Rattus norvegicus: one gene and its partners. The protein of the gene in region 2 purifies or fractionates together with the protein of the main gene of each other region. This does not show direct contact. Links are inferred from orthologs where the notes say so. Each region holds a gene or a part of one and is shown on either strand. Other genes may lie near its edges. The genes, in order: Api5, Ddx39a and Thoc1.

Region 1 (3,656 bases), on a different chromosome or scaffold from region 2:
CTTTCCCTCCCTCTAGCAACCAGTAAATACTTACTGATCCCCGGGGAGGGGTGAGGCCTCATGAGTCCCTTCCCATTCTATGATAGGATTTTGATGGCCCAGCCTTGTGCACACGATGGCAGTTGCTGAGAATTGCAGAGCACTTCACTCCGTCTTCTAGAACTTGTATTCTTTCTACCTTCCCTTCTGTGATGTTCCCTGAGCCTGGGAGATAACTCATCTCCCATGTACTGCTGAGTGTTCAGCAGTCATTTATTCACAGTATTTGACCACATAAGAATCTCTGCTGTTGCTCTTCTCCATTGTAAACAGAAGCTTCTCTGAGCAGTGCCGACAGCGCAGCGCTAACCTACACAGTAAGTATAATTACTTAGGCAGAAATTTGATGAACACGTGTCCATTTAGCAAAATAATAACTGTAGTTTACCCTGTTTGGCCCTATGACCTTCCTTCCCAGCCATAGGATTCAGACCAGGTTCACAGTACCAGCTATGAATTCCATCCTAGGGAGCCAGCCTCAGTTCTAGTCAGAAAGCAGTTAGTTACATACATAACAGATTCACCACTGTTTCTCCAGTGGGGATATCTTGCCTACTGTGTCAAGGGTTCACAACTGATGTGACTGTTGATGACAAGCCTCCCTCTACATCCTGCAGACTCTTTAGCACTCTAAGGACTGGCCAGCAGGAAGGAAGCTTCCAGGCTTATCCTGATTTCTTTATGGCCTGCAACCAAAACATGTGGTCTTATCAGCAGTAAGGCCTTACCACCTAGTTCTGGTGAGCAGTCAACCACAGTGGCAATTATCTGTTGTGTTCAGGGAACTTTAGAGGCTTCCCTGAACAACAGTTCATAGGGAAGGAGCTCACCTTTGGCACTTGGGTTTTTATTTAATTACTTGTATCTTTTAGGGATCTCCAGAAGATACCTCTGCTCAAACTTATTTCTAAATTAGCTTACCAATTACCAGACTCCCTTAGGCTTTTTCATACATCCTTGGTTTTAGTTAAACTCGCTCATCCCCGCTCTCCCCTCTTCCCTATCTCTGTGCCCCACTTCCACATCACATGTTCTATGCCCTCATATACACAGTTTTTTAGGAGAATACATTGATGAAAATGGCTCAAATTGTACCTTACATTTTTCTTGAAGGTATACCTTTAAAGAATTTAGAGTTGTGTTTTATTAATTATTGAAAACATACCAAAACATGATTTTAGAAATGCATCAAAGTATTGATGAGGTGGTTCAGGGGCTCACTTTTTGCTCTTGCCAAGGGAGGACCCTGGTTTAATTCCCAGCACCCGTATGGCTCACAACTATCTTGTTACTCTAGATCTGCTTTTCTGGCCTCTGTGGACACACCACACCACACACATACACACACACACACACACACACACACACACACACACACACACAGAGTATTTACAGTTAATGCTTCTGATACTGTTTTGAGACAGTGTCTCATTGTGTAACTGGCTGGCTAAAACTCACTGTGTTGACACTATGAACTCACGTGGAGCTAACAGCCATGCTGGAAGAGGAATGGGCCGAGCAATGCACTGTTTCTAATATTTTATGCTGGGGATGGTCTGACCTACCACTAAGTCACTGACTGCTGAAGATACTACTTCTGTTTTATTTTCTACATTGGTGACAAGTAGAGGGCTGAAGAGATGTCGGTGCTGGTAAAGAGCCACCCGTACAAGGCCCTGAGCTCAGATACTTAGCACAAACATAAAAGCTCAGCATAGTGGCTTGAGTCTTACCCAGAGCCTGAGCGTTTGGGAGGTGGAAACTGGTGGTCCTTGGAGCTTATTGGCTAGCCTGTCTGTGAGCCCTGGGATCAGCAGGAAGTAATAGAAGGTGGATGACTCAGCAGTTAAGAGCTCCCATTGCTCTTGCAGAGGACCCAGGTTTGGTTCTAGCACCCACATGAGTCAGGCAGCTCACAAGCACCTGTAAAAGTAAGTTCAGCTCCAGGAGATCCCATGCTATCTTCTGACCTCTGCAGTCACCCCACACACATAGCACACACAAACAAAGATGTACACACATATACTTAAGTAAAAATCCATAGCTAAGAAATAAGGTGGAGAGTAGTAGAGGAAGACACCCAATATCATCACCCTCTCCTGTGTGTGTGTGTGCGTTCGTGCGTGCGTGCGTGTGGTTTTGTGTGTGTGTGGTATTGTGTGTATGTGTGTGTATTTCTGACAACATGATCAGTGTCATTTAATGAATGAACCAGCTTGGAGGTAGCTTGTGAGGAGGACTGGGAACTTGTTGAGACTTTATCCAGTTTGAGAGCACTTAAGAATTTATTTGATGGAAACAAGTGGGCTTTAGTGTATTCTCATGTGCGGTGTTAGAATTTGTCTTAATCCAAAATTGACTGGCTATACAATTTGCCACTGCTTTCACATTCTAAAATGAAAGATGAAATTAAACTTTCCTAGAATTATTTAATTTCAGAAATGTGTTCCTTTCACCTTCCATAAAATACTAATTAGAGGCAGGGTCCTGTGGGTGGGAGGCAGGGTGAGACAAGGTCTTGCGTTGCAGCTCAGGCTGTCTTCACACTTACTACCTTCCGCCTTAGCCTCTGGAATGCTAGCATTTCAAGTGTGGGCCACGGCACCTGGCCACAGGTACCTTTTTCTTTTTTGTAAGTAAATGTAACATAACTTTGAAGAGTCTACAGTGTGTCTCCATTTTTAAAGCATGACACTCTCATGGCCTGGACTTAAACTTAGGATCATATTTCTCTTTCCCAGCTGATGTAAAATGGAATGGGCAATAGGGAATAGAGAAAGTAAAAAAGTTGTGTCCAGTTTAAGTAGTAAAACTAGTGTTTATAAACATCTGAAGCATTTGTGCATGTGTGATACATGTTGTTCCTTTTCTTCTTCTTTCCAGCATAAAGATGCCTACCAAGTGATATTGGATGGTGTGAAAGGCGGGACCAAGGAAAAGCGATTAGCAGCTCAGTTTATACCAAAATTCTTTAAGCATTTTCCAGAGCTGGCTGATTCTGCTATCAACGCACAGTTAGACCTCTGTGAGGATGAAGATGTGTCAGTAAGTTTTTGACTGACATTTAAGTAAGCTTTCTATTATCTATGTAAAAGTGACATGATCAAAATAGCAATCATCTCAGTCTATAGTCTCTGTCATTCTATGGTCACATTGTGTCAGACCCAGAGTGAATGCTACAACTGAGAAAACACCAACTGTCACCTTGTAGTTATGAAAAATATGTGGAGTAATAATTATTTATTTTGTTTTTTCATTATCCACTGCTGAAAATGGAATGTATCCAACATCTTTTTGAGATAGTTCCCAGTTCATATGAAATTAGATTGTTAATACAGTTTTTGTACCTTACAAATTTATTATATATGTCATAAGAATAGTTGGTCACTGTATTACCTGTAGCTGATTACCAGATTAAGAATAAAGCCTTTTGGGTTGGGGATTTAGCTCAGTGGTAGAGCACTTGCCTAGCAAGCGCAAGGCCCTGGGTTCGGTCCCCAGCTCCGAAAAAAAGAAAAAAGAAAAAAAATAATAATAAAGCCTTTTCCTATGGTGCAGAATTAACATTTGGCATTGCTAGTTACTTGTGAGGCTTCTAAGGTTTTTTTGGCTATTAG
Region 2 (3,756 bases):
CCAGGGCTACCCAGAGAAACCGTCTCAAAAATCAAAGTATTGATTCTGGAGTATTTCAACTGTGAGGCTGGCATACTTCCCCCAATAAGTAAAAAGAAACGTAAGATTAAGACTTTTACCAAAGTAGCAGCTTTTGTTTATGTGAACAAACCAAATTACTCTTTTAGTTTCAATCTCTCCATCCTCAAAGCCCTTTCTGAGCTTCTGCAGGTGAGTCAGTGGATTGAAATGTGGGAGCCAGGGCTTCCGTAGGTGCAGTAGCACATAGCACACAGGCACAGCACACCTTTAATCACAGCGCTCACACCTTTAATCACACGGAGGAAGAGGCAGGCAGATCTCTGAGTTTGAGGCCAGCCTGGTCACAGATGGAGGAATTCCCGGACAGCAGAGGTACTCAGAGAAACTCTATCTCGAAAAGGTACAACCAAACAAAAGAGTCAGGGGTTCTACACCAGCAGGAAAGGGACACTTTAAAAGGGTGGGGCACATACAAGAGCGACTAAGGTGCGGTTGCCAGTACTAAATGTGGCAGCGTCCACTCAGGCCCTCAATTCATCGCACGTGACTGAGCGGGATCGCTGATTGGTCCACTCCCCCCTCGGACACGCCCACTCTACGACTGCCCAATGAACACGAAGCTCTAGGTACGCCCTCTTTCACCCTTTTCACCAATAGCCGGCCGACAGCGTCCTTATAATCCAACCATCATTTCCTCCTCTGTTGAGTGATAAACCAGCTGTCCAGTGAGCAAGACCAGAGTTGGGCTCAAGGAAGGAAGCGTTGTAGCTCGCGTCCAGGGGCGCGGCGTGTACGGGTGGCTCTCTTCGCAGCTCGCGGAGGCGAACCGGGCAACAGGTAAGTGGCGGGTCCCGAGGCCCGGGCTGCGGTGCGGGGCTGTGGGTTCGCCGAAAGGGACGCCGCGGAGCGCGGTGCAGTGGGAAAAGTGGGCGCGCGCGGCGGCGGGACGGTTAGGCACCCCACTGGAGACGGCGGCCGTTGGGTTCCAGTAAGCATGCGCCAGGGGCGGGCCGGCCGTTAGTGCGTTGGCTTCCGGGATCGGTGTCATGGCGGCTCTCGGAGGCCCGCATGTGTACTGTGGTGGGTTTGAGGCACGGGGCGGCTCCAGGCTGCGTTTTCGGTCGCGGGGAGAGGACCCAGGCTTTCTGGGCAGATGCCCCGAGTCTGCACTCACCTGCTTCCCGTCTTGCTCCGCCGCTCTCCCAGGAGATTCACCTCCAGACTCCGAAGCGGAAAGCCGGTGTGGCGGCCCTTAGGCCATTCACCGGGTGTCGTTTTCCCGGTGTGAGGCCGGTTCAGCCAGTTGCATCTCGTCTTCCTGGGCCTGTTTGAAACTTTAGGTCTGTGACAGCCTGGGTTCAGTTATTTCATTTTCCTGATTGAACGAAGGCCTGACGTATTTGGAGGCATACATTCCGAGGTGCACCTCGGAACCTTTTGTGTATCTCGTTTCTTGAGACAGGATCTCTTTACATAATTCTGGCCGTTCTTGAACTTTCTCTGAAGACCAGGTCGGGCTCGAACTTACCGAGATCCACAAGCCTCGGTTCCCGGAACGCTGGTATTAAAGGCGGGTGCCACTATGCCGGGCTTCACATTTATCTTTTAACCAGCACAATAAGAAGTGTTTTTTAAACAATACTGCCTAAAAACAGAGTACACATCTGAGAGGCCCTAAGATAAGTTCTCCTGAAATCGAGGCTGTCCTTGTCGTTTTTTATTTAGGCATATTTATGTGAATGAACACCTGTGGTGTGCAGGTGCTCTTGGATACCGGAAGTACTGTCCCTGGAGTTAGAGGGTTGTTGTGAACTGAGAAACCTAACTCAGGTCTTCTGAAAGAGCATTAAGCACTCTTTTTTTTTTTTCTTTTTTCTTTTTTTCGGAGCTGGGGACCGAACCCAGGGCCTTGCGCTCGCTAGGCAAGCGTTCTACCGCTGAGCTAAATCCCCAACCCCATCATTAAGCACTTTTAAAGCACCCCCTTGCCTGGCCAGTCTTAGAACTTAACTTCTAAGGTTTTTGTTGTTGTTATTGAGACAAGATCTCTCACTATGTAGCCCTGGCTGGCCTGGAACTCAGAGTTCTGCCTGTCCCTGTCTCAGGCATTTAAAAAAATTTTTTTAATATATTCTAGCATTTGGGAACTAGAGACAGGATCTGGAATTCAAGACTAGCCTCAGCTACATAGCAAGTTTGAGGGGCTGCAGGAGACCCAATTTCAAATAAAAATAGGTAGTACATCTAGGCCATTCAAGTGTGATTCTTTTCTCCTCAGGAATGGCTTTGAGCTCTTCGGCATCTCCTCTCTACTTCAGCTCCCCCCACAGCTGATCACCTTTCAGAGGACTGGTTTCTCCCTGCTGCCGTTCTTATCTCCACTTGAGCAAATTCTTAATGAATCACTCAATTCCAAGCCTACTTAGCAGTTCTCCACGACTTAGCAATTTAGCTACACAGGCCCTGGGCCTGTCCAGCTCTCCTGTCCTCTCCTAGCTGTCCTAGCTGTCTCTGCTTTAAACCTTTGCTGGGGTGTAGAGCTTTAATACCTAGTTAAAGCATTTTTTTACTTTGTGTCTGTGTAGGGGTGTGTGCATGTTGATCAGAGGACAATTTGTCAGTTTTCTTCGCTATGTGGATTTGGGGGACTCACAACACAGTGACAAGCCAGATATGATTTAGCTGGAGTATGCCCCCTCTGTCTGCTGTGAGAGTTGTGTAGTGCATAGGGTCAGTGGACATGGAGTAGGCTGTTGGTGTAATACAGACAAAACAGTGTTAATCCAAATGACATCATGTGATAGTATATGCATTTTTACATCCTGTGGCATCAGTACAATCAACTGAAACATAAGCCCTTTAAAAAAGAAAACCTTGGGGCTGGGGATTTAGCTCAGTGGTAGAGCGCTTACCTAGGAAGCGCAAGGCCCTGGGTTCGGTCCCCAGCTCCGAAAAAAAGAGCCAAGAAAAAAAAAAAAGAAAACCTTTTGGTCCCCAGCTCCGAAAAAAAGAGAAAGAAAGAAAACCTTCTGGTGGGCTAGAGAGAGACCGATTAAGAGCACATGATCTTTCAGAGCACCAGGGTTCAATTCACATGATCTCATATTGTTTGGCTATAAAGGGAATGCAGCATTTATTTCCATTGCATTGTGGGTGAGTGTTGAGAATGGTAGATTGAAGGAATCAGAAAGGAAAAGGCCAGGTAATGCTGTCTGAACCTATTTATAGAAAATGCTCAGAAAAGGCTAGTCTGCAGAGACCAGAAACAGATTGTTTCTGGGAGTTAGGCAATGGCTGCAGGCTTTGTGGGTTTGGGTGTGGAGTTCAGGGTTTTTCACATGCTAGGCATTTGTGGCTGAGCCACACCCCAGGCCAGGGGCCTTTTTTTTTTTTTTTTTTTTTTTTAGATTTATTTATTTTGCTTATGTGTTTTGTCTGAATGCATTTATATTCAAAGGGCATGCTTCATGGTCAGAAGGTCAGAAGAGGACTTTGGGTCTCATTGGAACTGGAGTTATGGACAGTTGTGAACCATCATGTGGATGCTGGGAATAATTGAACCTCGGTGCTCTGAATGAAAATGTGCTCTTAATCAGCCATCTCTTCAGGCTATCCAGAAGGTTTTCTTTTTTTAAAGGTGGTGAACTATGTTAGAGTTGATTGTGCGAGCGTGTTTGTGACTCCTGAATTGTGTACTTTGACTGGTGAGTTGTATAGCTTATGACTGTTTTAGTA
Region 3 (2,555 bases), on a different chromosome or scaffold from region 2:
GTTTCTGCAAATAGCTAATAATCTAAGCAGTTAAACATCCATTTAAAATACAAGAAACTTTAGGTTGGCCAGTGTTATTTCAAAAGAAACACAAAGTTGTAAAAGTGATGAATTCCTTTGGACACTGAATTCTGTGATCAGTTTCATTACCTCACATACCTGTTGTTTATGTTTCAGGAACCTTAATTTCCTTAGCAATCTAAGGAAAGGACCAAATGTTGAATATTGTAGCAAGTTGGTCGATTTGAGTTGATTAATAATAAAATTTTGGGAATATTATGACATTTTGGACTATATGTTCTAATGCTCTGTAAAGTACCCAAGATTTTTATTAGATAATAACTCTGTAACACTGTGGGTAAGCCAGCATTTCAGGTTTGTAAAGTTTGCTAACTTACATGGAATGTGTACTGTAATGGTTTTACTCAGTCTCATTGGCTAGTTGGAGAAGGAAGTAACTTGGCACCTGTGTTTTCCCACTAAACCAGGTGAGGTGGGTTTACAACAAATACACCAAAACCATGTTTAGAGTGCACTGAGAATTAAAAACTATTATACAAAAAGCTTCTCGATAGTTTATTTGACCTAGAAAAGCATTCCAAAGAGAATTCTTTAAAGTAGAAATTGGATTTCCAGTGTTGTTTTAAATAAGGTGTTTAGTATTTTAGAATGCATCCTTGAATGTAAGAGAGAAGAGGCAAAAAATCCATTCTCCCTTTCAGTTCCTGAGCATGCCTTAATTTGCTTAGTGCAGAGGGTACCAGGAAGCTGGAGCTGTGCGCAGCCACTGCTTCCCCAGCTAGTGGAGTGTGCATGGTCCAGGCAAGGACACTTTTAACCTTCACCAGACACCAAACACCCACAGGAAATGTTGTATGGGAACAGAACATGAACCTTCAGCCAGCACCGCACATGCTCTGCTACATACAGTGTATTTTCACAAGTCAACTGACAGGAATCCCTGGGTGTTTAGAGACTTGAGGATGTCAAGTAATCTTTATAAAGCTAAAGGAGTAGTTGGGTCTTAGACTCCACTTCACATAAAGTTAGAGGCTAGCAAACATTTTCTGTATTGGCCAAACAGCAAATGGTTTGCAGGGCCCCTGGCTATCAGTCTGGACTCTTGCTGTAGTAGAGTAAACATGGCAGACTGCCAGTAAAACACTTAAACTATCCATCCTTTGCCAATCCTCTGCTTTCCAGCTTTCCAGTCCTAAGGTTTCAGAAGTGTCATCTTGTGATTTCAGAATACATTTTATAACTGATAGCATGCAGGAAACTAATTTGGGACAGGACTCTAACATACTCATAAATAGTACTCATTTAACTTCATTATAAAAATACTTACAAAAAGTCGTCTGTGATCTTGTGGTCCTTTTACTTTGGCCATTTTCCCACCCTGTCCTCCTATACTCCAATGCCTGTTCGGTATGTGGTTTTTTGAGCACCAGCTAACTGTACAACAGCTGTTATAAAAGTGTTTATTGTTTACCAAAACCAGTGAACCTTTTATCAAATGCTGCTTGGTAACAAAATCTTAATCACTGTTCAATAAAAAAGGAGAGAAAGAAAGAAAGCTAACTGTTTGTTTCAGTGTCATTAGTTAGACTTTCTGCAAGGTCACTTAACCCAGACTTGTTCAGTGCACCAATCAGGTTATCAGTTGTTGCGTGAACTCCTTCTTGATCTTGCCAGGCAACAAGGAGCTGTTTGGCTCTCATCTTCATGTCCTCACTGTCACATTCAATCTGCCTAATGTCAGAGTCTTTAATTTCCAGGTAAGGAGCCAAAATCTTCCACTGCTCACCAAGTTTGTTGGCAAATGACTCTATCTGTTCCCCTGTTAGAGGTTTATCTCGCCGAACATCAGGACCTAGAAAACAGGGGATATAAATTATGTGCAAAATATAGAGATGTGCATTTAAAATATCGGAAAGAACAGCAAAGCTAGAATTACCAGTGGGTTACTAATCCCCTAAAACTTTAAAACTTGAAAATTTCCATAGACTGTATACATCCTTTTAAAGCACCCATCTTCTTTGCCTTTTAAAATTATCATCTCCAAATTTCATTCTATAAAATGGACTTTAAGTGACCAATGTTTTTAACTTATTTTAAGTCAAAAGTAAGATAAAATGGTAGAACTGAGAAGTAAATCAAATTAAATAACAAAGATCCCCCAGTCTTTTCCAATTTTGTAAAACAGCCAAAAAAATTCAATTCTTACTTTCATTTTCCTTTAGTAAAGCATCATTATCTTCCTCATCTTCATCCTCACCTGTTTTTATTTCTTCAGAAGGGGGCTATAGTAAATGAAGAACAATGTTTAAAAGAACTTCAGTTTCTGAAGATAAAAGATCTTAGGTAGAAAGAGTGAGAAGCATGGGCAGGCAGGTTTGCAAACACCTAAGCTTTAAGGCAGTTCTGTCTAAGGGGTGACAGGGATTGACCATGTCCACCATTACCATACTGTAAGGAAACAGTGGGGAAGGCTCTGCCAGGTGACCTTCTGTTACTCTTAGATCCTGCTTTTGACAAAAGACAGTAAAACACTA

The links.
Region 1: the proteins of Ddx39a (region 2) and Api5 fractionate together in Homo sapiens (co-fractionation; 3 studies listed by BioGRID, with this or other methods). This does not show direct contact. The link is inferred for Rattus norvegicus from reciprocal best matches to the Homo sapiens genes DDX39A and API5.
Region 3: the proteins of Ddx39a (region 2) and Thoc1 purify together in Homo sapiens (affinity purification with mass spectrometry; 3 studies listed by BioGRID and IntAct, with this or other methods). This does not show direct contact. The link is inferred for Rattus norvegicus from reciprocal best matches to the Homo sapiens genes DDX39A and THOC1.

Annotation. Positions count from the first base shown.
Region 1 is NC_086021.1:100,848,556-100,852,211, reverse strand, and holds part of Api5 (apoptosis inhibitor 5), read left to right. Parts: intron 1-2,922; coding exon 2,923-3,084; intron 3,085-3,656. UniProt on the Homo sapiens protein: Antiapoptotic factor that may have a role in protein assembly. Negatively regulates ACIN1. By binding to ACIN1, it suppresses ACIN1 cleavage from CASP3 and ACIN1-mediated DNA fragmentation. Also known to efficiently suppress E2F1-induced apoptosis.
Region 2 is NC_086037.1:41,328,720-41,332,475, reverse strand, and holds the start of Ddx39a (ATP-dependent RNA helicase DDX39A), read left to right. Parts: upstream 1-1,062; 5' UTR 1,063-1,361; exon of another isoform or gene 1,362-3,756. UniProt on the Homo sapiens protein: Helicase that plays an essential role in mRNA export and is involved in multiple steps in RNA metabolism including alternative splicing. Regulates nuclear mRNA export to the cytoplasm through association with ECD.
Region 3 is NC_086036.1:1,289,957-1,292,511, reverse strand, and holds the end of Thoc1 (THO complex subunit 1), read right to left. Parts: intron 2,304-2,555; coding exon 2,228-2,303; intron 1,874-2,227; coding exon 1,578-1,873; 3' UTR 556-1,577; downstream 1-555. UniProt on the Homo sapiens protein: Component of the THO subcomplex of the TREX complex which is thought to couple mRNA transcription, processing and nuclear export, and which specifically associates with spliced mRNA and not with unspliced pre-mRNA.